Nothobranchius furzeri: one gene and its partners. The protein of the gene in region 2 purifies or fractionates together with the protein of the main gene of each other region. This does not show direct contact. Links are inferred from orthologs where the notes say so. Each region holds a gene or a part of one and is shown on either strand. Other genes may lie near its edges. The genes, in order: gnl2, lyar and gtpbp4.

Evidence for each region.
Region 1: the proteins of lyar (region 2) and gnl2 purify together in Homo sapiens (affinity purification with mass spectrometry; 3 studies listed by BioGRID and IntAct, with this or other methods). This does not show direct contact. The link is inferred for Nothobranchius furzeri from reciprocal best matches to the Homo sapiens genes LYAR and GNL2.
Region 3: the proteins of lyar (region 2) and gtpbp4 purify together in Homo sapiens (co-immunoprecipitation; 3 studies listed by BioGRID and IntAct, with this or other methods). This does not show direct contact. The link is inferred for Nothobranchius furzeri from reciprocal best matches to the Homo sapiens genes LYAR and GTPBP4.

Annotation. Positions count from the first base shown.
Region 1 is NC_091745.1:70,687,618-70,697,556, reverse strand, and holds part of gnl2 (nucleolar GTP-binding protein 2), read right to left. Parts: intron 9,562-9,939; coding exon 9,422-9,561; intron 7,857-9,421; coding exon 7,672-7,856; intron 7,593-7,671; coding exon 7,526-7,592; intron 6,303-7,525; coding exon 6,144-6,302; intron 6,033-6,143; coding exon 5,919-6,032; intron 2,289-5,918; coding exon 2,160-2,288; intron 670-2,159; coding exon 565-669; intron 1-564. UniProt on the Homo sapiens protein: GTPase that associates with pre-60S ribosomal subunits in the nucleolus and is required for their nuclear export and maturation.
Region 2 is NC_091743.1:56,226,428-56,236,886, forward strand, and holds the start of lyar (cell growth-regulating nucleolar protein), read right to left. Parts: upstream 5,772-10,459; 5' UTR 5,457-5,771; coding exon 5,335-5,456; intron 5,252-5,334; coding exon 5,137-5,251; intron 3,699-5,136; coding exon 3,591-3,698; intron 2,330-3,590; coding exon 2,252-2,329; intron 870-2,251; coding exon 542-869; intron 432-541; coding exon 372-431; intron 166-371; coding exon 80-165; intron 1-79. Other genes in the region: zbtb49 (zinc finger and BTB domain-containing protein 49), read left to right, coding at 6,406-6,557, 6,678-7,792, 7,865-7,911, 7,982-8,055, 8,156-8,238, 8,368-8,529, 10,421-10,459. UniProt on the Homo sapiens protein: Plays a role in the maintenance of the appropriate processing of 47S/45S pre-rRNA to 32S/30S pre-rRNAs and their subsequent processing to produce 18S and 28S rRNAs. Also acts at the level of transcription regulation.
Region 3 is NC_091751.1:36,524,600-36,535,144, forward strand, and holds the start of gtpbp4 (GTP-binding protein 4), read right to left. Parts: upstream 5,598-10,545; 5' UTR 5,500-5,597; coding exon 5,452-5,499; intron 4,875-5,451; coding exon 4,704-4,874; intron 4,619-4,703; coding exon 4,515-4,618; intron 4,184-4,514; coding exon 4,047-4,183; intron 3,956-4,046; coding exon 3,855-3,955; intron 3,720-3,854; coding exon 3,627-3,719; intron 1,630-3,626; coding exon 1,438-1,629; intron 514-1,437; coding exon 448-513; intron 301-447; coding exon 211-300; intron 130-210; coding exon 19-129; intron 1-18. UniProt on the Homo sapiens protein: Involved in the biogenesis of the 60S ribosomal subunit. Acts as a TP53 repressor, preventing TP53 stabilization and cell cycle arrest.

The DNA of each region.
Region 1 (9,939 bases), on a different chromosome or scaffold from region 2:
TCTGTCTGAATTAATACGAAGTGTGTTTATGGTCCCTGAACAAGCAAAGAACCCTAGAATCTTCCGATTAAACATTCAAAGATCAATCAGATAGATATTTCATATTTGTATGGAATATCACATCTTATTGGTCGTAATTAATATGTATTAATTGCTACATCACTAAATAAAACAAATAAGCTGTGTTCATGACCTAAAACATGCAAGAAATGTGCTGGAAGCAGACCGCAGCACCAGGCATGTAATTTTTTCTAAGTCCACAAGTGGCGGCCAGTCTGAAGTTGCAGATGCGTAGGGGGCAGCGGGGGTATGAGTACCATTGCAATAACCCTGTAAAAAGGGTTATTTCAGCACATATTGGCTCAAGAAAATTATTTTTAAAAAAAAAGAAAAAGTTGCTAAGTATCCCGATGCTGGATGGACCATGTCTCCTGTAAAGTATTTTCTTCCACTGAAACGAAATCCCTCATGACTGCACCGTTCTTTAAACACCTGGAGAATTGTTCTAAAATGATTAAATACGGGGGTTAGTCGAGACGTCAACACTAGATCAATGAGACTTACCACTCCTTTCAGGACAATGTCAGATTCGCTGTCCTCAGATGGGTAGACTACACCGGGACAATCAATCAGAAAGATGCGCCTCATCAAAGTGATGTACTGCCACACCTAGAGTCAGGAGAAAGGTATTAACCATTGGTGGTGCAAGTATGATGCAAGAAAAGGAAATAATAATAAAACTTTAGAGAAAACCAGGAGTGTCTCTCCTTCATTTTAAGGTTTTTGTCTAGTTGGACTTTTTTTGTCAATTGTAAATATTTGCATACAAAAACAAAAAAATCAAAAATAGAGTATTTTGTCTCTTTCAGGGTATCTGCAGGTTTAAGGGAGCCAAATTTAAGACCTTTTAAGACCTTTTCTTAAGGCCACTTTGACCAAATTGAAGCTATTTTTTAAAATAAATTTAAGCTATAATTTCCAGTAGGGATGTCCCGATCACATGCTAGGAAATCGGCCCCGATCACGTGGTTTCAGACTGATCGGGACTCGGGCTTTACTTCCCGATCCGGACTGGGATACTGGGCTCAAATTACAGGAGAGCAACTTGGTTCTCCTTAAAGGTCGTCAGGCTCCCCTGATGTCCTTAACTTACACACCCAGAAGGAGCACAACAAAGATCCAGTTTCTACCTATTTTATATTATTTATATGGACTCAGTGTAGCGGGGATTCTTTAGAGCAGAGATGCAGAGAGCAGCAGGCAGACCGCTGATTATTCATGAACTCCAGCTGCGTTCTGCACACGGCCACAGTAACATTTTCTAAGTTTCGAAGTGGCGTCACCCAAAAATATATAATTAATACACAGTCATTCGTGTCCGTTCATTTTCTCTCTGGTAAGTTCTGTCTGTATTCGAGCATGACGTGTGGACGTGCCCCCGCTGCAGCACTCGTCGCTGGAGCTGCCAGGCAGCGCGGCGCACACTCCGCTTTTTTTGCGGTCAATAGATTAATTTGATCTGCTGGTTAAAAAGTTACTTGTGAGGTGAATACGAAGGAAGCAGGCAGGAGTGTTTCTGGAGGACTGGGAGATGCAGGAAGATCAGAGACAGACAGGACAGGAAGACAGGAAAATAAAAACCAAGAAAACAAAACAAAGTTCTAACAAAATAAAATCTAGGTAGATTGATCCCACTAAATGTTTTTACCTGTATAAACCAATAATTTATCAGCATGTAGTATTTATATAGTTGTTACAATTCAGATCATCTTCAAAACTCCGTCCCATGCCCAGGGACGTATCTAAGCCTTTTGGGGGCCGAGGCAAAATACCCTGCCAGGTATTTTAGGTTGAAGTTGAAGTGCTATCTGTTTTTATATTAGACTTTTTATATTTGCAATAAAGTCCAAAAGTGAAGAATTTATGTTATTTATTACTTGATTGTTCAAGCTACCTCACAGAAGTGATCTGTTGTTAAAAATTAAAATAAAAAGGTAATTAAATAAAAGTCATTAGTATTTACTGACTCATCGTCTATACCTTTCCCACCATTTCAATACAAAATAAGACAAACACAATTTATAAAATTAATTTAAAAGCAAAGTCAATTTCTATTTTGGATTTCAGGTTCTTTGTCTCTTGGGACAACTGGACTGTACCTTAGTCTCTCCTGCGATAGGCGCCACATTGCACACCTTCTTGGACCGCAGAGTGTTGATGACTGAGCTCTTTCCCACATTTGGATAGCCAATAAAACCCACACTTATCTGTTTCTTGTCTGTGTGAAGCTGAAAAAGACAAGAAAGAAAACCTCTGCATTGTTTTGTGACAAATGACTTGATTGACCCCAAAATTCCACCATCGCCGCTCCGGCACGAACTCCGCAGCAAAAACGGTCCCGTTGTAGTCAATCAGAGCAATTCCACTACTGCGGTCGTGCGGCGCACTGCGCCGCCCTCCGTTCCGTCATCCGGCAAAAATAGGATCGATTCTATTTTTGCCGGACGCCGGAGCACCTCCGCAGTAAATGGACAGAAATCACAACCACCCAACAGGAAAGGGAGCAAGCACAGCTTCCGTTATTTCACAATAAATCGATAACAAAAAGCGTTTTTTGTTTCAAATGCACAGGTTTAACAACTTTTAACAACGCGGTTGAACTTTAAATGCACAAAAATAAGCCATAAATACCGTTTCCACTATCAACGTAGTCACACTTTGTTGATTCAAACACTGCTGATCTCTCAACACAAATGATGGGCGGATTAAACGGTTCTTTTCGATGCTTCTCCCACACAACGGGTGTTTGGATCTAACTTCCGCGTTTATTGCTCGGACTGTATCACAAGATCTCAAAAATCCCGCGCATGCCTGTTTGCGCAACTCAGGTCTCCGCACCGGAGCGGAGCCGTTGTAGAGCGGGTACAGTATAATCTGAGTTCGGAAGCGAGCGGCAGCGGAGGGCGGGGGCGGAGATAGTGGAATTTTGGGGTTAAGAGCTGTAATTTTAGATTGGTCCCCTGTTGTCATCACAATAACAACATAGATGTTATTACTCATGAACTTAAAACACAAGAGCAGACCGGTGCAGCAAACTGGAATGTGATATTTTAAAGATGAAGCTGTCATCTTGATAGAATACAGAAGAAAGCCTCATCATTCAACACAAACCACATCATTCTTCAAACCCGCTGGAAGCAGAGTTCAGGTGGAGCAGCTGACAGAGAAACTGATTGCTGCTTATTGATAAATGTGAGTAATGATGGAGAGAAAAAGTGAAAATGTTTCACAGATTTACTCAACTGCTTCAAAAGCAGGAGAGAAAAACTAAAGCAGATGAATATAAATGCAAATAGTTCATAAAAAGCAACCTGAATAACTTTATGGAAAGAAAGAACATTTCCTTAGGATTAAAGTATAATAATGCTCGTGTGAAGAGACCGTGAAGGGTTCTCGTGAGAGATTGTTGTCTGAATTTTATCAACTATTTGATGTGTCAATCAACAATATACTTCACTGCAACTGGTTTGAGCAACGCAGGTGAGATTAGGGGGCGGTGCTTCTGACCTATCGGCCAACAGCTGATGCAGCAGAGGGGGTACCCCATTACCTGTTGGACTAGAAAGATCTTGCAGCTAATAAGAGGATGCTAATGAAGGTTATTGTGGCATCCAGAATTGGTCAGTTCTTCATCTACAGTTTGACCTCTTCAGTATCCGGTCTTAAGGAGTCGGAGCTGCGTCAGCTTTATTCTGAAGGAACCGTTTGCGGTCAGCTGTAGCGTGCGATGGGAGAAGAGTTGTCCTCCGATGGCCAGTCCAGAGTTCAGCTCAACTGACGCACGAGGAAGTGAGTTCTGTTTTAATAATCGCCATATTTTGACTTACTGACAAATCAGAATTTGACACGTAAAGGGGGTTTGTCAACAAACCTCAGAAACCACACCTTGCATCAGATACAGGAGCTCTATTTGTGGACCAGAAAGCAATGTGTCATGAGATTACTGCAACCTTGTCATCGTCATGTGTGTGAGTGTGTGAGCTGTCAGTAGATGAATGATTCACTTGTTAAATCAAACTTTACTGATCACAACATAAAAATATTCATTTCAACTTCAGTAATTTAAGCACAGATTAATCAAAACGTCGTTATTATTCTTCAGCCATTATTGTTCATTCAACCATATGATTATTTACGTATTTCATTACATCATCCAGTATTCGTTATAGCGGTTCATTCTTATAAAAGTTCATTCTTCTTGTTCTGCGAAGCAAAGCAGATAAAGAGGAAACTTGAGAGGGACCTTGGTCAAGCAACAGTATCCTTCTTGCAGATTAAAGGCTCCAGTTAAGACTTACGTCTCCATATGACCGGATACTGAAGAGGTCAAACCGTAGATGAAAAACTGACCATTTCTGGACGCTACATGATGGCGAGTGGAATCTAAAGGAAATGTGGACGTTTTAGTGGTGTTAAATTATTTAATGTAGACTGGAGGTTAATTACTTTATTGGACCCTTGTGGACCAAGATAGTTCTGTTGTGTCGGTGATAAGAAGCTTCGAAAAGTGAGTTACATATTACCTAGAAATTGCAGAGTTGGTGTGTCTAGTTACTGGGGATGTAAGAAAATCTCCATATGGCAATATATCGCAATACTTTTTTCCTGCAATATTATATAAATTTTCAACAGCCATGTTTTGAATTTTCGGAAGAATTTACATGCAAACACTTGTGTATTTTCTTTTATTTTTGGTGCAATTCAGGCACCAATCGCTAGGTGGCAGCAGTGCACACTGGGTTTTGTTTCCACCACTGAAATGTAAATCCCTCAATTATGGTTCAGATACCTCATGTTAAAAATGTTACGTATCAGTTTGGACTGTTTATTGAATTTTCCTACAATAAATTCAGGTTAAAAAACTAAAACAAAAGCTAATACCGCCTGGCTGAATGTATCGCAGTATATCGTGATATGAATTGTACTGTTAGAATTAGTACACATCCATACTAGTTACAGTTGTATCCTTGTTTGGGTAAGTGACAAGAATCCTAAAGAGTGGTTTGACCTGCACGTAGGTAATGTCCGACCCACAAGGCTAATTCATAGGCATGAAAGACGCCTCTAGAAGAACAATCGGTGAAGGGCTCAGCCTACTGGCAGAGGGCAATTAAATCCCCAACCTTAGGATACTGAGCCACTCTCAAAAGCTTAACTCAACATGTTTTTCCCTAAAATCCACAAAATAAAAAGCAACTGAAGGAGGCTAGTGATGACAAACAAAGAGTAAGAAGTTTGGGGAAAACAGGACACTGACTTCATCTTAGAGCAAGAAAATGTACCCAGAATAAGCCAATTTGCACAAATTACCCACATTTTAAACTTGGTTTTGCCCACATAAGGTGGATTACAAATTTTAGATTATTATTTGTGGCGAGTAAAACGCTTTACTGGAATCCAAGCAGGTCGAAATAACCATCTCTCCTATAACATAGATGTGTTTCTGTTTTAGTTCAATCACAGGTCACTCACTTTCTGGCTAGAGGTTTAAACTGAGACCAAAGTGATCAAGATTTTACCAAATAACTTTATATGTGACCTCTCACTCTATGGCACGATCTTAAAATATCAGTTAGCACTGTCTGCTCCTCAAACATGAATTTTAGTTGCTTAGTTGGAGAATTCACTGATTTAAAGGCATTTGTCACATTTTCTTTAGGTGATTATCTGCAGTGGCCATTTTAGATTGGGTCAACTCCAAAAGAGGTGTACAGCCAATAATGACTTTGAGAGTAGTCAGCAGGTGACGGTGACTCAAAACAGAACCAAAAGGGTCAATTCTCTGGATTTTTTCCTGTCACTATATTCTTGAAGTTTGTTTTTGCTTAAGACATGATTAGCTCTTAGACGGGGTTTACCTTCCCAAACTGCCTCAGGAGCTGGATGAGGGAGCCTTTACCAAAAGAGTTAGTCAGACTGGCGTGGAAAGCTAGAGTCGGATACTCTTGGGACAAAACAGCTACCCAACGTTTCTGGTTCAAAAGTAAAAAGAGGAGAGGCAAATGGTTACAACTTCATCATATTTATGGATATCTACAGGATGAATTCAGTTAGTTCCAGTCCAACCCCAGCAAACATCTCACCGTGACCCAGGTGGGGATGAGGTCACACTTGTTCAACACAAAGATCAAATGTTTCCAGGGTTTCTCCTTCTTCAGATAAGTCTCGATGCTCTTGGAGCGCGTTCCCATGGGATCCCGAGCATCCAGCACTTGGATGACGACATCAGACGAGTCAATCACCTGTTAATGATAGGGATGTGAGAGAACACTGATGTACCGGAACTTCACAATATTTTGTGAGGAGCTGTTACGTTTAAAAGCTGTTTATCAATTTTTTCATTGAGAACTTATGTGCAAACAATTCCACCTCCCACTGCTAGGTGGCAGCAGTTTTTATCGTCCTTCAGTCTTGTGGAACAACGAGATCTCGCAACAACGATGGATGTGTGTTCCTGGAAGGGTCTGGCCTGAGTTTTACAATTAAATTCAATCTTGAAAATTGCAAATATCGCCTGGCTTTTAGTATCGCAAAATATTTTATCGTCTTGCCAATACATGCTCCTAATTAAGAATAACAGTAAACAAGAATGATGAAACAGTCCATCCATACAACCCCAACCCACCAACATGACCATTACTGTCCACCATTAAACATAACAGCTGACTTTCTTTTACGTGTGAAACAGCACAACAATGCGTCCCAAGTGTGATACACACATAATTACGTGCATTTGGCCCAGCTACCTCCGCTGTGTTAGCATTAGCATGCTAAATGCTTACTTTTCGCACACGCTGTGGGGTTATTGTGTAGCAGTGAAATGGGTCCCGGCTGAAACACTTTCCCACTGTGAATGTTTCAGACGTTGTCTAGGCTATTCACCAAAATATATGATATGTAGCGTACGGAATGACCAAGCGTATGAAATTTTCATATAATAAATTGGTGTACTGCACAGGCCTAGCTACGATTGATTACTGGGACTCTTGGCCCTATTCCCAATTTTGACTATTTTGAAAGGGACAAATCATTAAAGGAGGATAAAAACAATCTCCTTGTAGTAGGGATGTGAGAAAATAATGATATGGCAATCTATCGTGATTTTTTTCCAGCGACATATCGATATTCAAAAGCCGTGTATCTAATTTTTGGAAGAATTTTCATGCAAACATTTGTGTATTTTCTTTTGTATTGGCGCAATTCAGACACCGTCTGCTAGTTAGCAGCAGTGTGCAATGGGTTTTGTTTCCACCATTGAGATGTTTATCCCTCAATTATGGTTCAGATACCTCATGCTAAACATGTTAGGTATCAGTTTGGACTGATTATTGAACTTTCCTACAATAAATTCAGTCAAAAAAAAATCTCTAATATCGTCTGACTGAATGCATCTCAATATATCGTGCTATATTGTATCGTTTACCCTGTATTTTATCGCCAGAATTTCACCAATACACATCCCTACCTTGTAGAGTTCTCCCCAGATCCTCTTGGACTGACCCTTCTTGAAAATCTCCTCGCGGACTTCGTCCCTGTTGCAGAACCATGATTAAAAAATAATCATCTTCAAACCTTAAAATTGGAGACTCCCAACAACTCCTGAGCACTTACCGGACCCCTGAGTCTTCTGTCACCAAGTCTTTGTCTTTGTCGGCGTCGTAGCTCAGAGCCGAGGCCTCGGCTCTCTCCAACAGGTCCTTCACATCCTCAACCACGAGACTGGGCCGTTTCCTCTGAGCCTTGGGTCCAAATGTGGTCTCGAAACCTTCCGTGTCTAAAATGTGTACCTTTGAATTCTGTACAAAAAAAAAAAAAAAAAAAGAAATAAGACTAAACTGCATTTTACAAGTTTCTCTACACAGTCCAGTGCAGGAGACATATCTAATAGTACAGAAATTTGATCAACAATGCTGTAGTTACCGTATTTTCCGGACTATAAGTCACCCCGGAGTACAAGTTATACCAGCCATAAAATGTACAATGAAGAAGAAAAAAGCATCTATAAGTCGCATTTTTGGGGAAAATTTTATTATTTTTCTTACAAAATCTGAGACCAAGCATTTTACATTGCAAGACAAGTACCGGTAAGTAAGTAAGTAAGTAAAAGTTTATTTTTAGAGCGCCTTTCACAGATATAAATCACAAAGCGCTGTACAACATGATAAAGATCAGGGCAAATACCTCTAACCAATAAAAAAAAATCAGAAAAACAATAGCAGTGATAAAATAGAAAATAAAATCATGAGTATAAACAAAGTGAAGGTGTGAACCCGAACAATAACAATGACAGAATAAACAACCAGGGCGCAGCGGCGCACCACGGTCTCCAGCAGAGGATGGCGGTGTTTCAAACCCTCCCAGCGGGACAGGGGAGCTCATTCCTGGGTCGGAGCCGGCCCGCAGCAGCTCGCCACAGGCGCCAGCAGGTGATGGCGGAGCAGAGGAGCTGAAACCTGGACCGGAGCCGGCCCGCAGCAGCGCGGTTTACATAATTTGGTATATAAGTCACTTTGGTATACAAGTCGCAGGACCAGCCGGACTATGAAAAAAAGTGCGACTTATAGTCCGGAAAATACGGTATGTGCATTAAGCTAAAGATGGAATTAAGTCACAGTGATGGCTGCAGAGTTCTATCCACAGCAAACTGATGTCAAATCAGAGTAAATTCTGGCTTTCCTGAATTAGAACCAGCTTGGATAAAGTCACAGTGATTAAGGGACATACAGGGTACGGTAAACCGAGCACCCAAAAATGCAACAATAGGGCCAGAGACAGAGCTAGAACTGTGCTAATTAAGTGTTCCACTGATCTTAAAACTAAAGCCATACTTCTGTTGCAACAGAGGGTTACAGGTTACAGGGTTCAACAACAGCAACACCTTGAGGCAGGAATCCAAACTAATTCCCCCCACACAGAATTACAGAACCCATAAACAGGTTAGTGTACCCTTCATTTTTACAAGATGTTTCTTTTCATGAAAAAAATGACAGCACATGGCAAAAGAACCAAGACAGCTTTGGTTTAAATAGATGAGACAAAGAAGGCTGGCAACAAAAGAAGTGTCTAATAAAATGCCAGAAGTAAATGATGATTAAAGACAGCCATAAGTTCATCTCACCTCATAAAATGCAATGAAACGAGTTCATGAAAATGCACCGAAAACAACTCGGAATGCTTGATAGGAGCCAGAATGTCAAACATTAGAAACGGGATAAAGCTTCCTGTGCCAAAACCGGTAAAATAAATGACACCCCCTTTGGACAAGCTTACCTGTACCAGCTAGCAGAATGATACCAGAACGGAAAAAGAAAGAGAGGATGCCGTTTAAGGGATGAAGGGTTTATAGTTTGTTTATACTCACGTGGGCTTTGACTCGGTCATGTAAAAGAGACATGGGCAGTTTGCTTTGCCTCATCACCACACGGTATGGATCCTTCTGGACGGCTCCCATCTCATCCTGGAACTTCTGTAGGGATGACTGTTTGATCACTCGGGTATTAACTGGAGAAAAATACAATTTCCTGCTATTAATCACATTCATTAGCCTAGAAATCTGGTCAACGACAAACACTTTACTCTACAGGTTAATCTAGCCACCACTGTATCCTCAGCAGGCCCAACACATTTTAGTTCAGGGCAATCGCAGCCCTCAATGTTTGTAGAAGGACATTGGTTAAGTTTAGCACCAGAGCAGCCACGGAGAAAAACTACAAAGATGGCTCAGGAATATTGGACGTTTGAAACAGCATTGGCATCAACTCCGGATGGTTTAGACTTGGGCTGTTCTTTGAGACATAAGCAGATAGAGGTACCATACTTTAGTTCTTTTCTTTTAAAACAAAGGACACATTTGCTTTATCTTCTTCTTCTACAGGGTAT
Region 2 (10,459 bases):
GCACAATGTGCTCAGGGGTCTGTTAGACTAACAGGCAACACCAAACTAATGCACACAGAAACGACCCATAGTGCCTCACCTTCTTCCGGAGCTTCTTCACTGGCAGCTCTTGGTCAGGTGACTCTCTCAGCACAGCTTTAATGTTTCCTTTCCAGTTGAATTTGCCTGAAAGTTGGACCAGAAACATTAATCTAATTTTCAAGACAAATGAAACTGTCTGAGGGTCATTTCCTCATTATGAGCTAAAAGGCAACACTGACACCTGCTGGTTTTACCAACATTTTTTAAGTTTAGTACCAGTTCTAAGTACTATGAAACAAATGTGTTCCAACCCTGACTGGTTCTGAGGGTGAACTACTAAACCACCTTACCTTGAGTAACAGCTTGCTCCCCAGCATCCTCTTCCATGAGAACGTCAGAAACTTCTGCTGCTTCACAAAAAAAGGACTTTGATTTACGTACTTTTCAAAACATGCATGCTGCTCAGTGATGGACAGTATGCATGTCAAAACAGTCAATATAAGGAAAAGTCTACACTTACGCTTGATTTTCTTGAGAGAACTCTGATAGTCATTACTGTTCTCGTTCTGCTCTTCCCCGTCTGCTTCTTCGTATTGGTGTTTTCGCTTTTGGTTCTTTTTCTTCTTGTCCGTTTGGTCTTTTTCTGGCTCTTCAGCTGCTGTTTTCTTGTCACACTTTGTAGTTTTTCCACTCTTTTGCTGACGAGCTTCTTTACGCTCCCGTTTGTTCAGCTTCTTCTTCTCCCCAGTTTCGGGTTGGTCCCCCTGATTTTCAGTTCCATTAGTGTCTAACTGGACTTCAGCTGCTGGTTCTTTATTTCCGTTAGTCAGCTGTTTGGTCTCAGGAGCCTGAAAGACGATGAGAGGGCAATGAAAGTTAAACTAAAACCTGTTTTATTAACCAACAAGAAACAAAAGCCAGATAAACATCTGATTAGAAGCTTTATCGGTCCGTCAAAGTTAGTTCAGTCATTTATAGAATATTATTGTTTTTAGGGGCTTATTCAGACACTCACAAAGTGGTGATCTGTTTAAAAGTGTGCATGAGATGCTTACAGTATTGCACAGAAGTGGTGTGCATCATTAAGTTTGCTTTTCACACCACCATAAGGTTTTGTCAGTATTTATATTAGTGCCGAAGCCTCTGTGGTTATGTAAAACCACAGCAGCAGGGAGGCTAACTTTTAAACACTAATTGATAAAGTGGCTGATGATGTAGCAATCAATAAAGGTAAATAAGAGAAAAATAAATGAATAAAGAAATCTGTCAAATTCCACTCGATAAATGATCAGATTTCATCCATCAGTCTCTTTTTTTTTCTATTATGGTGACAAAAACAATATTCATTTATTTTAGTAAGTCAGACCTAACGTGTTGCAAACACTTACATAAGCTTTCCAGCCTTCCTCTTGTTCAGGTGGCCTGAACTTCAGCCATAAACCAAGTTTAAGGTTTAGATGCAAATCTGGAAAGTGTTCCATTAATAAAGTCTCTCCTGATCAGGACCTCACTAAAGAACCCGCTGTCCTATTCTTTTTTTTTTTTTAATGAAATCTAGACTTTGTCAGTCAGATTAGATTTATTCAGGACAAAAAAAATCTCTGATCTCTTGGCATTTTTCAGCAATAAAATACAGAAATAGAAAACTAATGAATGCTATAAGTTTTTACTGTAGAAACAAAGGAAAAACTTTAATAACTTTCAAAAATCTAAGTAGCGGGCAAATTCTAACTGATAGATTGTCATCAAAAGCATGTTTTCAGCCACTTTCACCAATGAAATTAGGACTCAGCATTATTCCCAACAAGTAAACAAACATGGACTCAAGTCAGGGCTGTAACTTCAGTGGAAAGCTGCATTGACAACATGATAAATGACCCGCACTTGTATAGCGCCTCTCAGAGTAAGGACTCCAAAGCGCTTTACACTACAGTGTATCGTTCATCCATTCACACACACACATTCACACACTGATGGGGATGAGCTACAATGTAGCTACAGTTGCCCTGGGGCGCACTGACAGAGGCGAGGCTGCCGAGCACAGGCGCCACCGGTCCCTCCGACCACCACCAGCAGGCAAGGTGGATTAAGTGTCTTGCCCAAGGACACAACAGCAGAATTCTCTGTCCGGAGCCAGGATCAAACCTGCAACCTTCCGATTACTGGACAACCCGCTCAACCTGTTGAGCTACTGCTGCCTTCCATTCATACAAGAACCCTCAGAACTTACGTCTGCAGCAGAAATGATCTCCCACACTTCATCATGTAGACTCGTGTTGTTTATTTTAAGGCTGTTTTTCATCCAATTCTAAAAAGAAAGAAAATAAAATGGTTAACTTTCACAAAGTGAAACTATTTACTAGGAATGGACTTGTTACATGGTATAATTTAACTTTAAAAAGTCAAAACCACAATTTTGTCTGTAAATCTGCTACAGCAATTTGGATAAAAAGTGCTATTTTTTTGCTAAATTAATACTTTGTCTGAAGTAAGTCAGTGACAGTGACGCGAGGGTTAGAAGTTGGCTTTGTAAGTGTGTGTAAAGCAAAGCCCTTGACTTAGAACGGCACTATAAAAATGTAATCATGTTTAGGCCTTTATAGAATTATATCATTATTGTTTACAGGTGTTCAAAATGAAAGCGTCCTTATTATGGACTTTTGCACATAAAGAACAAACAAAATGTCTTTACAAAAACCAGTCAGACACTTATGCCATGGGGCAGCAGTAGCTCAGGTGGTAGAGCGGGCTGCCTCATGATCGGAGGGTCATGGGTTCGATTCCAGCTCCCGCCAGGGGTATCCTGCTGTTGTGTCCTTGGGCAAGACACTTCACCCAACTTGCCTGTGTTAGTGGTGGTCAGAGGGGCCGACGGCGCCAAATGGCAGCCTCGCCTCTGTCAGACCTCCCCAGGGCGGCTGTGGCTACAAGTAGCTTACCATCACTAGCAGTGTGTGAATGTGAGAGTGTGTGAAAGCGCCTTTGGGTGTCTAGAAAAGCGCTATATAAGTTCAATGAATTATTATTATTATTATGCACTAGAATTAAAGAGGAAACAGGATTAATATTGTCAGCCAGTCGAGGAGGCTCGGGGATCTGGTTAGGACACCTCCTGGTGAGGTTTTTCTGGACACCGGGAGGAGACCCAAAGCCAGAGGGACTATGTCTCTCGGCTGGCCAGCGAACACCTAAGGATTCTCCCGGAGGAGCTGGCCCAAGTGGCTGGGGAGAGGGAAGTCTGGGCCTCTCTGCTTAGGCTGCTGCCCCATGAAGTACTAAGTGAATAGTTATTTAGTTATGTTATAATTTAGAGACTGCACTTTTAAAGATTGTATTATAGAGAATGAGATGCCTTATTTAGTCATTTATTAGATTTTACCTAATTTTTTGAATAGTATATTTGCTTTTTAACAGTGTCTTTCACTGTTTCTAGTGGGAACAGCATCATGAATTTAGGGTATTGTTGCTCAATGTTATCATTGTATCTTAATGCCTTCAACCTGAAAGGAGATCCAGTTGTGTATGACCGTCAAATGAAAATAACTGTTACTGTTCACAGTTGTACCAACCTGAAACTTCGCTTTCTTTCTTGGAACGTTATCATACGTACTGACTTGTCTAAGCACATCTTTCAGCTTGGCACTGATACCCGGTTTGCTCATGGCTTCATGTACTCTCTGAAAAAAAAGATACATAAAGTCTGAATTTTAACAAAATATTTCAGTCAACAACAAACCACCGTATGGTTTCAAGGAGATTCTGGTCCACCATCCGGCATCTCAGGAGGGGCAAGCAGCTCGGGACGTTGTGAATCGATGGGTGGAACACTTCCTCAATCCTACTGGCACGTCTTCCAGGGAGGAAGCAGAGTCTGTGGACTTTGGAATGGACTCTCCAATCTCTGGGACTGAGGTCACCAAAAAAAAAACTCCACGGTGGCATGGCTCTGGAGGTGGATGAGCCCAGAGTTCCCTAAGACTCTGGATGTTGTGGGGCTGTGTTGGTTGATGCGGCTCTGCAGTATCGCGTGGACATCAGGGGTAGTTCCACTGGATTGGCAGACTGAAGTGGTGGTCCCCCTAATTACAAAGGGGGACTGCAATGTGTGTTTCAACTACAGGGAGATCACACTCCTTAGAAAGGTCTATTCAGGGGTTCTGTAAAGGTGGGTCTGTTGGACTGTCGAAGGCCAGATTCAGGATGAACAATGTAGTTTTCGCCCTGGCTGTCCTTTGTCACAGATTCTGTTCACAACTTTTATGGACAGGATTTCTAGGCACAGCCAAGTTGTTGAGGAGATCTGTTTTGGTGGCCTGAGGATCAGGTCTCTGCTTTTTGCAGATGATGTGGTCCTGTTGGCTTCATCAAAATGTAATCTCCAACTTCTTCTGGAGCGTTTCACGGCAGAGTGCAAAGCAGCTTCTCTAAACCCGAGACCATGGTCTTGAATCGGAAAAAGGTAGAATGCCTTCTCTGAGTCAGGGATGAGGTCCTGCCTCCAGTGGAGGAGTTTAAGTATCACAGGGACTTGTTCACGAGTGAGGGAAAGATGGAGCGTGGGATCAATAGGGGAATTGTTGCTGCATCTGCAGTGATGCGGGCGTTGTACTGATCTGTCGTGGTGAAGAGAGAGCTGAGCCTGAAGGCAAAGCTCTCGATTTACCGGTCGATCTACGTTCCTGCCCTCACCTATGGTTACGAGTTTTGGGTAGTGATCGAAAGAACGAGATCGGCGATACAAGCGGCCAAATTAGTTTTCTCTGCAGGATGGCTGGGCTCTCCCTTAGAGATAGGATAAGAAGCCCAGTCATCCGGGAGGGGCTCGGAGTAGACCCGCTACTCCTCCACTTCGAGAAGAGCCAGTTGAGGTGGCTCGGGCATCTGGTCAGGATAGCTCCTGGACGCCTCCTTGATGAGGTTGATGAGGCACGTCCAACTGGGAGGAGACCTAAGGGAAGGCCTTGGGGTTCCCTCAGAGAAGCTGACCCAAGTGGCCAGAGAGGGGGAAATCTGGGCCTTTCGGCTTAAGCTGCTGCCCCTGCGACTCAACTCCAGATAAGTGGCTGAAAATGGATGGATGGATGGAGGAACCACCGTTCGGTGAGAGAAGTTTACCTGAATCCACTGCTGTTGTTTCACATCTCCTTTGTTTGCCTTAGCCTCGTAGCCTTTCCCTCCATACTTCTGATTTTCACTTATACATTTGTTGTGATCTTTGTAGTCATCACCCCTGTAGAAAGCATGGAAGAGTTTACACTAAGAAAAGTCTGTGAACAGAAATCTATGGATTGTAAACACTCGGCCAGCCATTACCAGAAGTCTTTTCCACAGTCGATACAGGACAGCACTTGGCAACCACGACACATATTCACGTGTTTCTCAACCTGAGCTTTTTTTAACGATTCACCACACGCGTTGCAAGTAAAAAACACCATTTTAAAAGCAATTCAGTGACTTCTGTGTCTCGGTGCCTTTAGCTTCTTAAAGCAAGTTAAAACAACGTTTGATGCTCAATGTGGAACAATCCCCCAGTACTAGACTTGGCACGCGCTAACGGTCAAATGTGGACAACAAAAAATAAACCTACTAACAAAAGTAGAAAATAATATTTGCCAATTAATATTTTCAAGCGGATGAACAACATACGTTGCTTTTATAAAAGTTATCGGATTCAAAAAAAACACCTAGAAGCACATTTACTGATTCCCTACGTGTATACTTCACGCAATTCAATCCTACATTATTAGCCTTCCGTGAGGAAAATGCTCCCAAAGAAACGTTCCTACAATTATTAAAATAACGTTAAAAGATTGGGAGAGGAAACATTATGCCAAAAATGTTTGATTACCTTAACCAATAAAATTACAAGCATGTAATTCCTTTTATTAAAACAGAATATATATTTATTTATCTGTGTTCATGTTTCGAAATAGGCGCTGTACCAGGAAGTGACGTAAGTCACCACAGTCTAGTGACCCATCATCCCAATGAAAGGTAGGAATGTATTAAGGGAGTTGTTGGCTTTGTTTATTTCTAAAGTTGATTGTTGGCAGTTAATCTAATTTATTTACTTTTCAAAACATTATTTTTTAAAGAAATTTCGCGTTCAGCCAATTTTCCTACGCACTGCTGCGATCGCTTGGTGCAGACATTTTGTTATTTTTGCATGGCTGGTCTCGTAACTCGGCCCAGCGGAAATCTGCTGTTTACAGAACAAAATAGATGAAAATATGAAGTTCAAAAGTTTATCCAGAATCAGCTGAAGAATGCATTTGTAACCCAGTTTAGCTGTTTGTTACCCATTAGCTACAGATAAGCTGTTTTCTTCTTCTTTTTCCCCTGATGTAAGGTTGAAGTTGAGAGAGGTCCAATAGCTGAGTGACCATGGACTCCCTGTCCAGCCACAGCTCATACCTTCTCCAGCAGCTCCAGGAACAAAGAATTCAGGGACTTCTTTGTGACTGCATGTTGGTGGTTAAAGGTGTTTGCTTCAAAGCCCACAAAAATGTCCTGGCTGCTTTCAGTTCCTATTTCAGGTGCCCTAAAGTCAATTTAATGAATAAAAATCCACATGTTTTTGTATTTTTTAGCTTTCTCTATTAATCATGTTGCGATTCTATAGATGATTGAGTTGTTTTATAATTGGATTTCTCCAGGTCTTTGTTCCAAAACTCTCCAAGTCAGAAGAGCGACGTTTTCAACCTGGTTATCCAGGATGTCAGTGGCATTGGTCAAATATTGGATTACATGTATACCTCCCATCTCGACGTTAACCAAGAAAACGTACAAGCGCTTCTGGACATTGCCCAGAGCTTGCAGGTTCCAAATGTGCAGACCATGTGTAACGCCTTCCTCAAGCCTTGCCCCCCACCCGCAGAGTTGTCTTCCTTTTCCCTCCCAGGCATGCTGAGCTCAGAGCATGACTGTCTTCTGGGCAGTGGTCTTCCACATGATGTTGACCTTCACTGTACCTCTGAATCCCAGAGGCCAAATTTTTACAGTGACCTGGACCACACAAGAAGGATACCAGTTTCTCTGCCTAGCAACAGCACAAATGGTGACATACCTAGCAGCTCTCATGCACCTGTAGAAAAACAGCTGGTTCATGGATATAAGCTCCGTAATTTTTACAGTAAGCAGTACTTCAAACAAAGTGCTCTGCAAACCAGTAGTGCAGCTTCAAACCAGGGCCCAGGTCCTTTAGTGTTATCAGAAGAGCAGCTTGGAATGAGCCAGAGTCGAAACAACACTCCTGTAACCTCTGGAAACGTGCCTCAACCTAACCTTTCTTGTACATCTGTGCCAGCTGAAAAGAGCACAGTCTCGTCTTTGACTCCATCAGATAATCTCAACACCTCCAACTCTGATCCAACTGACTCCATGATCAACAAGACCGTTCGTCCCAAGAAGACAGTGTACTTGAAGAAATATAACTACCTCCGGTCTCAGAAGGCTCTGGAGGAGATGTGCACTGAGGCGGCCATCGAGCCCATCCACATTTGTCCCAAAGAGATCCATTCAGAAGAAAACATCACTCGGAGTGAAGTCCCAGCACCTCCAGTAGAATGCAGCCCTGCAGATAGAGGGGAAGCTTCAGAGGCAGCAGACATTGAGCTTCCCAGTCCTCCTCCTATAAACCAAAAGAAGACAAACTTAAAGCCTGTGCCAGAGCCCACTCTGCAAACAGGACACAAGCAGTATTGTTGCGAAGTTTGTGGGAAGATCTTTAAACACCCGAGCAACCTGGAGCTGCACAAGCGCTCGCACACAGGTACTACCTGTTATTACGGCTTAATATTCCCACTCATGTACAATAACACCATTAATTATTTTGTTGATGCAGGTGAGAAGCCATTCCAGTGCAGTATTTGTGGAAAACACTTCTCACAGGTATTTTTTTGGTTTATAATTATGTATTTATTGGGTTAAATGGAGATTAATGTAACATTTTACTTTACAGGCAGGAAATTTACAGACACATTTGAGGCGACATTCTGGAGAGAAGCCATACATCTGTGAGCTCTGTGGTAAAAGGTAATTATACGTTTTTAGTACTACTACTAATACTACTACTACACTTCATATTTATAGTCTAAAATGTGTCTTTAAGTGTCTAAAACTGAGTTTTTTCAAGCTTTACTGCATCAGGAGATGTCCAGCGTCACAAAGTGGTTCACACAGGAGAGAAACCCCATCTGTGTGATATATGTGGTCGAGGTAGGTTGCATCCCTCAAAGTTTTGTCTCAGTTTTCTAATTGCTCATTGTTTTTTCTTCGGCTGACATCTAGTAGAAGCTTTAGTTGGAAAATAGCATTTTGTGCTTTTTGACGTGTCTTGTTATGCAGGATTTAACAACTTGAGCAATCTGAAGGAGCATAAAATGACTCATGCAACTGACACGAGCTTTGCCTGTGACCAGTGTGGAAAATCATTCAACACACACAGAAAGGTTCTGAAGCACAAGGCTCGTCACACTGGAGGAAAACCACACAGCTGTGCCACCTGTGGTAAGAAGCCATCTCTGTTTAAAGGACCACACTGTGTGTGTGTGCGTGCGTGTGTGTGTGTGTTTTATGTAGTTACACTGACAACTTTTCCCTACATTTGGGTGTTAAGATGTATTTTTCAAAGTGACCAGCTTTTACTCCCTGGACACTAAACACAGGCCTACATTCTGCATTTGCACTGCTTTCTGCATATATTTTTAAGGTGCGGAACACTCATTTAATCAGTATAATTGGAGCGGTCTCTAGTAGACATGAATGCCATGTAAGTCGTACTCTGAGGGAAAAAAGCATCAGTGCACTATTTTCAGGAACTGGAAGTGAGCCACAACAGGGATGAGCTTCAGACGACAGGATTTGGAGTCTTATTAACTGATATTTGGACATCTCGCCTCAGATTGGATGACAGCAAGGTGACTCTACCACTTACTCCAACGTTGATGTTTTATCTCCACAAATAACACAAGCCTGGAGGAGTTCTGCTTTGTGGTGGAGTTACTAATGCTAGTGGTTGGCTTCTGCTAGTCGAGATGTTCTCTGCTGTTTCCCGGGCAGTAAATCAACAACAGCTTTCCCCGTCACTAGTCAAGATGGGGGAGTTCATGAGCGTTAAATGACAGTGTGACGTAGATATGTCGGGATTTTTAAATCCTATAGTTTCATCGTCTATTTTCTATCAGAAGCTAACGCAGGAGACAGGTGTAGGAGAATGTCCTCATGTTCAGCCTGTGTGAAAAACTGAGTGACTGATTATAATCAAAAATAAGGTTTAAGATTTTGTTTTACCATTAAAACTAGTACAACAAGTTCATAACCAATATATTTATTACATAATAATCAAATAAAGCTAAGCAAACCCTGGCTGACCCAGGTGGCTGGGGAGAGGGAATTCTGGGCCTCTCTGCTTATAGTGCTTCCACACGCCCCAGCTCCACTCCGCCTGAATATGATAAGAAGTGTTCACATCCGCATAGCTTGGATTTCTTCCGTGCACAACCGGTCGTTTTTTTCAGCCCTCTTCCCAAGAAGGTCTGCTTCGGACTGAACTGAATCAACACACCTACTGCCGACTGATTGGCTGGCTCAAAATCCCGCCTACCATTATGGGGTGCCTCAGATTGGCAGATAAAATTAGCCAGCGGAGGCATCCCACATGCAGGATTCCTTATCATTCTGGATATTGAGGAAACAATGCCTCTGACTGAAGCTGTCTCATTCTGTCTCTCTCTGAGAACACACAGACACACAAAAAATGCTGCCAGGCTTGAGCTGCGCCAGGATAGACACAGCAGAGCAGGATGCAATATCAGAGTCAGTCTCCAAGAGCAACACAGCCACCTTTGTTTAATTTATGGGAGACGCCACATACTTCTCTGGGCATCTTTTGCCCTGCCAACTTGCACAGAGATGCGCTCATGAAATCATGCCAATTTCGGAGACTGCCCATATGCTCAGTCACGTCCGCATTCCTATGGATATGTGGAAGGATGTGTGTAATTAACCCAGTCAGGCTGGGGCTGACTGCGTGGTGTGAAGCCAACCTTAGTGTTAGTGATGAGTGGTTAGCCTGCCACACAATAGAGGCTAACGACTCATCAGAAGGAGGGGTATTCATAGGTAGTTTCTGCTCGTTAAGAAACAACAGACAACCACAGTTTATAAGCTTGGCCTGCCTATATTACAGTCAAAGGCTCCTTGGATGAGAAAAAAAGGTCTTCAAGGAACCAAAGAAGTCCAGGTGCCTTCATTCGAACCCTTTTGAATCTACACAATATATTTATAGCCAGAATGTCGTTAGGAGGCATGAAAAAAAAATGTAAGCCAGCTTGTTTACCAGATGTGCCATTGCAGCTTTAAATAATGTTTTATATGTGATATTTCTCGTTTTATGCAGGTAAGTGTTTTATTGGCTCCGGAGACCTGCAGCGACATA
Region 3 (10,545 bases), on a different chromosome or scaffold from region 2:
TTGAACGTTCTGAAGTACCTTCTCATCCCTCTTGGCAGGCATGGCCAGGTGCAGCCTGTTCAGAACATCGTGGACCTTCTTGCCTTTAATCTTGGTGTTGACCCGGTGAGCCAGAAGCTGGTCACATGCCTGAGAAGCATACGAGCATTTGATATGATGCCTCACACCTTCAGCCGGGAGGAAATGAGCCTGAAGATCATCTGATCTCACCTCAGTTTTAACCTGCATGACTCCTTCTTCCGTCAGCGTGCTCGTCTCAATGACGGGGATTCCCTCCGCCGTGAAGTCCGCAAAGATTTTCTAGCAACAGACGGAGAAAAGGAAGCAGCGAGGGTCAGAGAAACAACGCTAAAGGTTTAGCTGAAGAAAAACATTCAATAAAAGAAAACGGTTGAGTTCGGATCATCAACCAGACGAGCTTTGGTGGCACAAAGGTCTTCATCACACCTGATTCTCCTCCGACAGCTCACTGATCTTCTTCACGTCACATTTGTTTGCAACAATGATGAGAGGCTGCAGAAAAACCAGCAAGATTGGAGTCAGCTGAATGAACGGAGCAAATATTTTTATGGTTTTTGAGGCAACAGATTGCTGCGTTTCTGTCAGATAGGGCGTGTGACCAGTGCAGGTGAGGCTGGAATTAGAGGAAAGACTAGAGACCCTTTCCAGCGAGAGACTCCTCCCACACTTACGAGTTATTTTAATCAAACATAAAACACAGCAGAGGACTTGGACACGCCCTTACCTCCGACACAAGTTGTGGCGGCCTGGACAGCACCACACACTGTCCCATACGTCCTAAAGGTCTAAACTCTTAATAATAATAATACATTGAACTTATATAGCACTTTTCTAGACACCCAAAGACGCTTTCACACACTCTCATATTCACACACTGCTAGTGATGGTAAGCTACTTGTAGCCACAGCCGCCCTGGGGAGGTCTGACAGAAGCGAGGCTGCCATTTGGCGCCGTCGGCCCCTCTGACCACCACTAACACAGGCAAGTTGGGTGAAGTGTCTTGCCCAAGGACACAACAGCAGGATACCCCTGGCGGGAGCTGGAATCGAACCCATGACCCTCCGATCATGAGGCAACCCGCTCTACCACCTGAGCTACTGCTGCCCCTGAGCTACTGCTTGTTTCTTTTGTTTAAAGTTTTCTGACAGGTTTACGTTCGGCCGCGACAGCTGGTGACAAACTGCAAGCTGAATTTTCCCTAAATGTTTGTAATATTTTTTCTCACAACATGAAGCTGTGGCACCTCATCTGCAAACATCTGGAACTAGTCTCTTCCTATAAGTCTGAAAGTCTTAAAAAGGAGAGAGAGAACGAAGCAAATAAGATGAGTTTTAAACTGATTAAGTTGTTTTGTAGCTAAATTGCAACAACTAAATGTGCATTTCCATCTAGTCTGTAACAGCTCTGGAGTCTGACCTTGTTGGTGAACAGAGGCCGGATGTTGTTGAAAAGCTCCAGCTGCTCCTGCAGGGTGTGTCCGCACTGCTCAGACACGTCAGTGACGTAAAGGATGGCTGAACGAAGGTGAGCTAGAGCCGTGATGGCCTGCATCTCGATGGTGTTCCTCTCCTCCAGGGGATGGTCCAGGATACCGGGGGTGTCCACCACCTACACACGTGTCAGCAGAGCATCAGAGCGGACACCAGAAACAACTTCCTGATCGGTTTCAGCTGTTTTATAAGCGGAACTTGAAGGTAAAGTTTGAACACTTAAAGAGCAAGTCACCCCCTGCCAGAGTATTACTCCACTCCCACTTTCTGTTTGAAAAATGCAACAAATGCTGTTGCCTGGCAGACCGAGAAGGCGTAGCCGCTAGCAAATACACAAACAAAGGCTCAAGATGACATTGTGACATCATAATGTACCAGCTAACATCATAGTGTAACCGCTTAGCCAATAGCGATGGCAGACTTAAATTCACATGCAGTGCAGAGTTTTTACCTGAAGATGGTGCAATAATGACAGTTTTAGGCAGAAAATTAAAATTGTAACTAAGATGCACTAAAGTGCCAAATTATTAACTACACATGTCTACAGCACGATTAGACACTCATTTATATACCAAATCCTCTAATATTGGCCTGTATATAATTAACTGCTGGGTATCATATTCTGGCCAGTGTCAGAGTCGGTGAATAATGGCCGTTTTTTTATTGTGGCCGGGTGGAATGTGGTAACAAGCAAGTACCACGGGGGGGGGGGGGGGGGGGGGGGCAGTTGTGTCATCCGTCTCACTTTTGATTTGCCAGTGATAGACCGCGAGGGTAACTTTAACCGTGCGGAGATGAAGAGGAGGCGAAAATTTGATATTAAGTTCAAAGAGAACGTGCTGATTATGCTGCAGAACACTCTGGGGAGCAGTAGCAGGGGTTGTATGAACTAGTCACTAGTCGACTTCACCGCTCTATAGTGACTTTTTATGCCCGTCATCGACTAGTCGCTGTCACGTGATAATGACCGGCAAGATACAGTCCTCGGAAAAGACAGCAGCCTGCTGTCAGCAGGTGACAAGCTCCTGCGTGTTGGGAGGCGACGCGCTGTGCCAGAGCGTCGGCACTGACCCCCGCCGTAAAACGGACATTTAACCAAATTGTGACATTTACCCTCTTGCAATTTAACCTTCCCCTCACCCCATCCTAACCTTAACCAGCTTGCGCATGCAAAGCTCTGATTGTTGACACGCTCCAGACATCTGCGTCCTGAGCACGGCCACAGTTACATTATCAAATCAGGTGTTGCCACCTCAAAAACTAATTTAACACGCGATCGTTCATGTTGGCTCATTTCCTTTTATGTTTTTTGTTTTTTAAATTATTTTATTTGTGCCTGATGCGTTTCGCTGCTGTGGATCGGGGTGCATCACCTGTTTTGTCCTCCGGTGACTCACCTAACTGATGTGGCCGGCAAGCAGCGCGCACTCCGCTGTTTTTGCGGTCGGTAAATCTTTTAGAACTGCAGTTCAAAGGTAACTCATAAGATGAATATATATGAAGCCAGGTAGCAGTTTTTCTTTAGGATTGAGAGGAGATGCAGGAAGATAATAAACAGGCAGGACAGAAAAATAGTCAAATAAAAACAAGTTAGTTTTTGTACCTGGTGGTTGCAACAAACAGACACCATTGACGGTAATCAGAAGTGAGGAACAGAAAATGAAATAATTATTTTAATGTTTAGAGCAGCAGGAACTCCGAGAGGCTGCAGGCTCATCAGTGAGTTTGCAGCCGCTGCGCAGGGGGAGGGGGCTGAAGCAGAAACTACCGTTGTTAAAAGAAATGTGTTTAACTTTGAAAACGTGGGCGCAATTTTAATTGTCAAAAACTCCAGCGAACCATTAGTTCATTTTGCTCAAATAGAAATTGAGGCCTGTCTCTAATTCTGGTCCTCCTTCCAATAAAGGCCTGGAGCTTGGTGAGCTTGGGTCAAATACAGGCCCAGGCCTGTATTAGAGGATTAACGGTATTTATCAGCAAAAAAAAAAAAGTTGATTTGAGGCTGACTTGCTCTTTAAGTTACTCTGAACAGAAAACAGAAAACAATAAACCTTCTTCAAATATTTCAGGTTCACCAGAGTTCATGAATGCAGTAAAATAGCAGCAGAATCTCACCTGCCAGCGGAGGTACCTGTAGTCCATGTGACCCACAAACAGAGACTTTGTGGTGAAAGCATACGGCTGGACATCAACGTCTGCCCTGGTGACCTAGTGAGGTGAACATTTCACATTTTCTTTAATGAAGAAGGGAAACCAGGCTGATTTAATACATTAGTTAGTACCATGCTTGGAAAGCTGGTCTCAGTCAACATTAATTATGAAAAAATGATCTCTGTAGCTGACCTTGTTGATGAAACTGGATTTGCCCACATTGGGGTAACCACACAGAAGCAGGGTCCTGGTGTTCGGGTCGATGCTCGGCAGACGGGACAGGTGCTGACGAACTGTAGGAGCAGGAAGTCAGATTTAAACCACAGGAATCTGCAGCAGAAACTGATGTTTAATCACAAAGTTTTCCCACTAACAACTCATCACCTTGCTCCAGATACTCCAGACTGGATTTCTGTCGTTTCAGGATGGTGCACATTCGGCCCAAAGCAGCTCTCTTCAGCTGCTTACACCGATACAAAGAATCTCCATATTTCATCAAGCGCACGTAGTCTTTCGCCACGCTGGAAGGTTATAAAAAACAAAAATCACTTGTTTGTAGAAATTTTGGGTTCTGTTGTTAGAATCACTGGTTGTTTAACAGCAGAACTCTACTGCCTAAATGGTCTTCTCTGTAGGTTTATGTGTTCTTACAGAATTTAAAAATCTTTAGCAAAGCAGAAAAAACCTGAACACCTCACCAACCCCACAGGGACAGAGGTTAAACTTAAACTGTCTGATTAATTTTGTGTTTGATTCATGTCGAAACCTCAGGATTGCTTATATGTCAATAACCCAAACAGGGTGTTGTAAACTGCATGATGCATGTTCACATTCTCTGAAGTCCAAACTTACTTATCAATCAAGTTTCTGGCGATGTTAATCTGTCCTAAGGCCAGCTTGTAGTGATCCTTGTCATACAACACGTTCATCAGATCAGCATAAAAAGGATGGATGTCCTGGAGAGACACACAGACCAAATTCACAAACAAATCCCAGAAATCAGACAATCAGCCTCCAGATGAGTAAAGGGCGGTGACCTACGTCGAGTTTTGGGAAGTCTGTGAGGATTTGCGTGAGCCGGTCGTGATAGTTCTGCTGGGTAAACTTTACTTTCCGCATGTAGAAGTGTCGGATGCGGTGGATCTGGTAATGTTTGTGGACCACCGTGGGCGTCTTCCTTTGTGTTTTGGATAAAGTGATGTCGATGAATTCCTGCAGACATGAAGAGTGCACTGGTTAATAACCTGAGACCACAAAGACAGTTTTTCTCTAAGACATTCTGTTATCCTGCAAGGTTCAGCCAAGCCTCTGGCTGACAGAAAACAATGTTTATCAAGTCATTTTTCAAAAACACTTCAAACTGAAACGTTTTATTATATGATCTTCTTTACTTTGGATTGGGCTTTTAGAACACATTTTAAGCAACTGAAACGCTTAAAATTACAAACATCTGATTAAAAAGCAGAGTTAGATTTTATTTACGACTACTGGTAGCTACTAGCTAAAACAAAAAATTGAGGAGCTCGTTACTTTTCAAACAGTGGTGTAATCATCCCAGACATTACGTAAACACGCAGGAAAACCTCGTTTAGTTTAATAAATCGTGTCCTATTCGTTTTAAGGTAAAAATCTACTGTTCTCGCAGATTTTCATCCAATGATCTGTTGCTGTCCCACGTGTTTTCGTTCCATTTAACTGTTTTCATTTCTATCAACCAACGGTCGTTTCTAACCGCGAGAGCATGGTCAAAGCCGAGTTGAAAAAGCGGAAATCGTGGAATAAAACTCACCTTGGCGGTAGGAACCACCATAATCTTTTTAAAGTTATAAAGTGCCATTTTGTCAGGACACGTTTAGGGCCACCGACGGCACGGAGAGGAACCGGAAACGAGTCAGTCTGAGACCACCAGCAGAAACTGGAAACTTTTCTGCTCGGCGCCCTCTAGCGGCCATAAGTGCACACAGCAATTAGAAACATGTAAACATCCCCCAAACATTAAAAAAGGGCTGAACTCTAAAATAAACAGCTGATACGCAACTTCTAATGGCATCATATGATTTTTTATTTGATTTTATACTTCCTGGTACTATTTAAGACAAAACACTCATACTAAAGTCAGCTAAAATTAGCTGTGCTCAAGTAAAATATTTTTGAAAGCCTATGCCAATATACTTTTAGAATATAACACGTCTATTAAAAGTCTATTTAAACATTCAACCAACCTTAGTGCACTTAGTAACTTAACTGGAAAAATTCTCAGCTGAACTTTGTTGCATACAAATAAATTCTGGTTAATTTAAAATGTAGAAACTCAACCTTCTCCTAGGTATTTCAATATTTTTAAGTGTTTTATTCTAATCTTTATGTGGACACCTTCACTTTTACTTCATTGCGTTCACAATGTGTACATTTTTATTTTTACATGGAAGGGGACGGAGGTACAATTTACATGAAAACCATCGATGAAAACATGTCTATGGGGGCGCAACATATTTGTTGTGACCCGCGCTAATCACCAAACAACCAATCGGAGTGCAGTGGTGTTTCAAGGCCACGCCTACACTCCTTGATCACGAGTGAGGTTCGCGTGCAGTTTGGACCAATCAGGGGAGCACACTGCAAGAACGAAGACGAAGGGGCGGAGGGTCGAGCCCCCTGACAGCTGCACCAAAGACATCCCAAATTTTAAGGAGGTCTCACTCCAACAGCTGGGGGTTTACCACGAAGAAGTTCAACAAAACTGGGATGTGGTATATTTTATTTATTTTTTATTTAACCAGATGATTTAACTCATTCTCATTTGCAACGACGATCTAACCAAGAGGCAGCAGCAACAGACAGACAATTTGCTTTACACAAAAGAAAAGCAGATAAGATCAAACAAACAAGAATAAAAAAAGATAAATCAGTTAGACATAAAGACAAATGACTGTTCTCATGTACAATATCTACAAGCAATCAAAACAGACTTAAACAATCTAAGTATTCAGAGGCAGGCACATTGATCAGAAACTACTGACTGCAATGAATTATTGAGTTTTGTGTCCACTCAGAAATAAATTGTACTATGATAATTGTCTTTGTTTACTCTGTCCTCTTTCTTCTTTGTGTTTTGTATTTTAAATGGGGGTGAGAAGAGAGGTAGAAGAAATATGATTTGGACAAAAGCACAATGTTGCTGAATTATTTGGGTGTACAAATAATTAATAATACATTTTATAAAACTAATAAATAAAATAGAAAATAATGAAGGAATTATGACATCTGCACTCTGTAATAAATGAGTCACTACTATGAACAAGTAATTGAAAAGAAAATAATTTGCAAAATAATACAAACCTGTAATAAAATAATTTGTAAAAATCAACCAGGGATCAAAGATGCATATTGGTTGGTTTATAAACAAGTCTTTAGGAACATTACTTAATTATAAATGGTAAATGACCTGTATTAAATATAAACCCTTCCAAGGTTCTAAAACCCCTCAAGACACTTTGCAGCGTAGCCAGTCACTCACCCACACACAGTCATGTGGTGTTCATGAGCTACAGTGTAGCCACAGCTGCCCAGGGGCACACTGACAGAAGTGAAGTTTATTTCACTTTCTTCATAAGGAGAGTTCTTGTCTGTAAATTTATGTTTGTCAATGACTTCAGGGTTTGAAAGTAAGAAAGCTGGATTTACATCTATTTATATCTGAAAGTCCTCATGCACATTGGCAGAGGACTTAGGTTCCTGCCCTGTAACCGGAGGGTTGCCAGTTTGAGTCCCGCTCCGTCTGTTGCAGCGTTCTTGAGCAAGACACTCCCTGCTGGTGGTGGTTGGTCATTGCACCTCAGGGAAGCTGTGGCTACAATGAAGCTCATCACCACCATTGTGGAGTCAACCATTTACGGATGAATCTCATATGAAGGTTTTCCTGCACCACATTAATTCTTTTAGGTGTAAAGCATCAGACAATTAATATTTCATAACAATCATATCAACTTGCAACCTACCCAGAAAATTATGTTTATGTTTATGTATTTAGCAGACGCTTTTGTCCAAAGCGACTTACAAGTGATGATCGGCATATTGCCCTTGAGGCTAACAACAACAATAACAACAACAACATTGACATCAGTCATGGAGAGGAGGGAACAAGGAGTGGACAGTAGAGAGGGGGATGGGTGCAGGGAGGGTGCTAGTTAAGAAGATGCTCTCTGAAGAGCAGGGTCTTCAGGAGTTTCTTGAAAATTGAAAAGGAAGCCGCAGTTCTGGTAGTGCTTGAAAGGTCATTCCACATTTGTGGAACGATGCATGAGAAGAGTCTGGATTGTCCTGGGCGTGGTGTAGGCACTGCTAGCCGACGATCCTGTGATGACCGGAGCGGCCGGGCCGAGACGTAAGCCTTTGCAAGAGGATTCAGGTAGATGGGAGCCGTACCATCTCAGCCTTTGTATGCTAGTGTTAGCAATTTGAATTTGATGCGTGCTGCTAGCGGTAGCCAGTGGAGCTCAATGAACAGAGGGGTGACGTGTGCTCTTTTTGGCTGATTGAAGATCAGACGCACCGCTGCGTTCTGGACCATTTGAAGAGATCTCACAGTACAGCCTGGAAGACCAGTTAGAAGGGCATTGCAGTAATCGAGGCGGGAGATGACAGTAGATTGCACCAGGAGCTGGGTGGCATGTTGTGTTAGGTATGGTCTGATCTTTCGTATGTTATACAGCACAAAGCGGCATGAACGAGCCACAGAGGCAACTTGATCTTTAAAGCTCAGGTGTTCATCAATCACAACGTCCAGATTTCGAACTGCCTTTGAAGGAGCCAGAGATAGGAAGTCATTTTGGATTGAGATATTGTGCTGTATGGATGGTTTTGCTGGGATGACAAGTAGATCAGTTTTAGAGAGGTTGAGTTGGAGATGGTGGGATTTCATCCGTTTTGATATGTCAGAGAGACAGTTTGATATTTGTGCAGAGACAGTGTGGTCATCCGGTGGAAATGACAGATAGACCTGGGTGTCGTCTGCGTAGCAGTGGTAGAAGCCATGTGATCTAATGATCTCACCCAGTGAGGTGGTGTATATGGCAAAGAGAAGAGGTCCTAGTACAGAGCCCTGGGGGACTCCTGTGGCAAGATGGTGCACGGTGGAGGATTGTCCAAGCCAAGATACACTGAATGATCATCCTGTGAGGTACGATTCTAACCAGGCGTGTGCTTTCTCTGTGATGCCCATGCTAGAGAGTGTGGACAAAAGGAAGCCATGGTTGACAGTGTCAAATGCAGCCGATAAGTCGAGCAGGATAAGCACTGAGGATTTGCCTGTTGCACTAGCTTCTTTTAAGGATTCAGTCACTGCTAACAGAGCAGTTTCAGTGGAGTGGCCCTTTTTGAATCCAGATGGGTAAGGGTCAAGCAGACAGTTTTGTTAGAGGTATTCTGTGATCTGCTTGAAAGCCACCCTTTCAATTATTTTGGACAGAAAAGGGAGGAGAGAGATAGGTCTGTAGTTCTCCACATGATTTGGAGGAAGAGATGTTTTTTTTTTTTTAGCAGCGGTTTAACCTGAGCATGCTTGAGAGAGGTGGGAAATGTATCGGATGTCAGTGAAGCGTTGATCACATGTGTGACTGCTGCGGCTACTGTAGGAGCAGTAGCTTGGAGCAGCTTTAGTCGGAATGTGGTCAAGTGGGCATGTAGTAGGGCGGCTGCACATGAGAAGCTTGGACACAGTTCTCAGTGAGAGGGGAAAAGAGGAAAATGACGCAGTAGTGCCTGAGATGGTTGGGCTAGAAGGAGTTTGTGGTAGTGAATGTTCAGAAGTGTCCAGTTGAGTAAACTGTTTGCTTATAGCTGCCACTTTGTCAGTGAAGAATGAGGCAAAGGTGTCAGCTGATAGATTGTTGGTAGGAGGTGGAAATGGAGGGGTGAGCAGAGTTTTGAATGTTGAAAATAGTTTCTGAGAGTCAGTAGAGCTGAGAATTTTGTCAGTGTAGAAAGCTTTCTTTGCAACAGTGATGCTGATAGAGAATGAGGACAGTAATTCCTGAAATTTCAATAGATCACCAGGATCTTTTGTTTTGCGCCATTTCCATTCCGCAGCTCTAAGATTGGTGCGTAGAGAAAATTAAAGGTAGATAAAGTGTTACTGAGGGCTGCGCAGTGGCGCAGTGGTTAGAGCTGTTGCCTTGCAGCAAGAAGGTCCTGGGTTTGCTTCCCGGCCTGGGATCTTTCTGCATGGAGTTTGCATGTTCTCCCTGTGCATGCGTGGGTTCTCTCCGGGTACTCCAGCTTCCTCCCACAGTCCAAAAAGCATGACTGTTAGGTTAATTGGTCTGTATAAATTGTCCTTAGGTGTGAGTGTGTGTGTGCATGATTGTTTGTCCTGTGTGTCTCTGTGTTGCCCTGCGATAGACTGGCTCTCTGTCCAGGGTGTACCCCGCCTGATTGCCCGTCGACCGCTGGAGATAGGCACCAGCCCCCCCCCCCCCACCCCCCACCCCCCAAGACCCCACATGGACAAAGCGGTTTCAGAAAATGGATGGATGGATGGATGGATAAAGTGTTATTGAAGATTTAGATTTTTAATGTGCATTACTTTCCTGCTGACTCACAGCTAGAAGGTTGCAGGTTTAACTCCCAGCTGTGACATTTCTGTGTAGATAATAAATCACCCTCTCTTACATATTAGTTTCCTCCCACAGACCAGTTGTGGCCTTCTGATGGACTAGTAACGCAGGGATCACCTGGGGATCTGCACCAGCTCCACTAAAACAAGAGAAGAAAGACATTATATGTGGTCAAATCAGATTAAAGTGTGCAGATGTGGGAGGTTGTGCCCACTCCAGTTTGTCTGGACATCAGGTTCAGGTTGGGATATGTGTGGAATTTGTCCAAG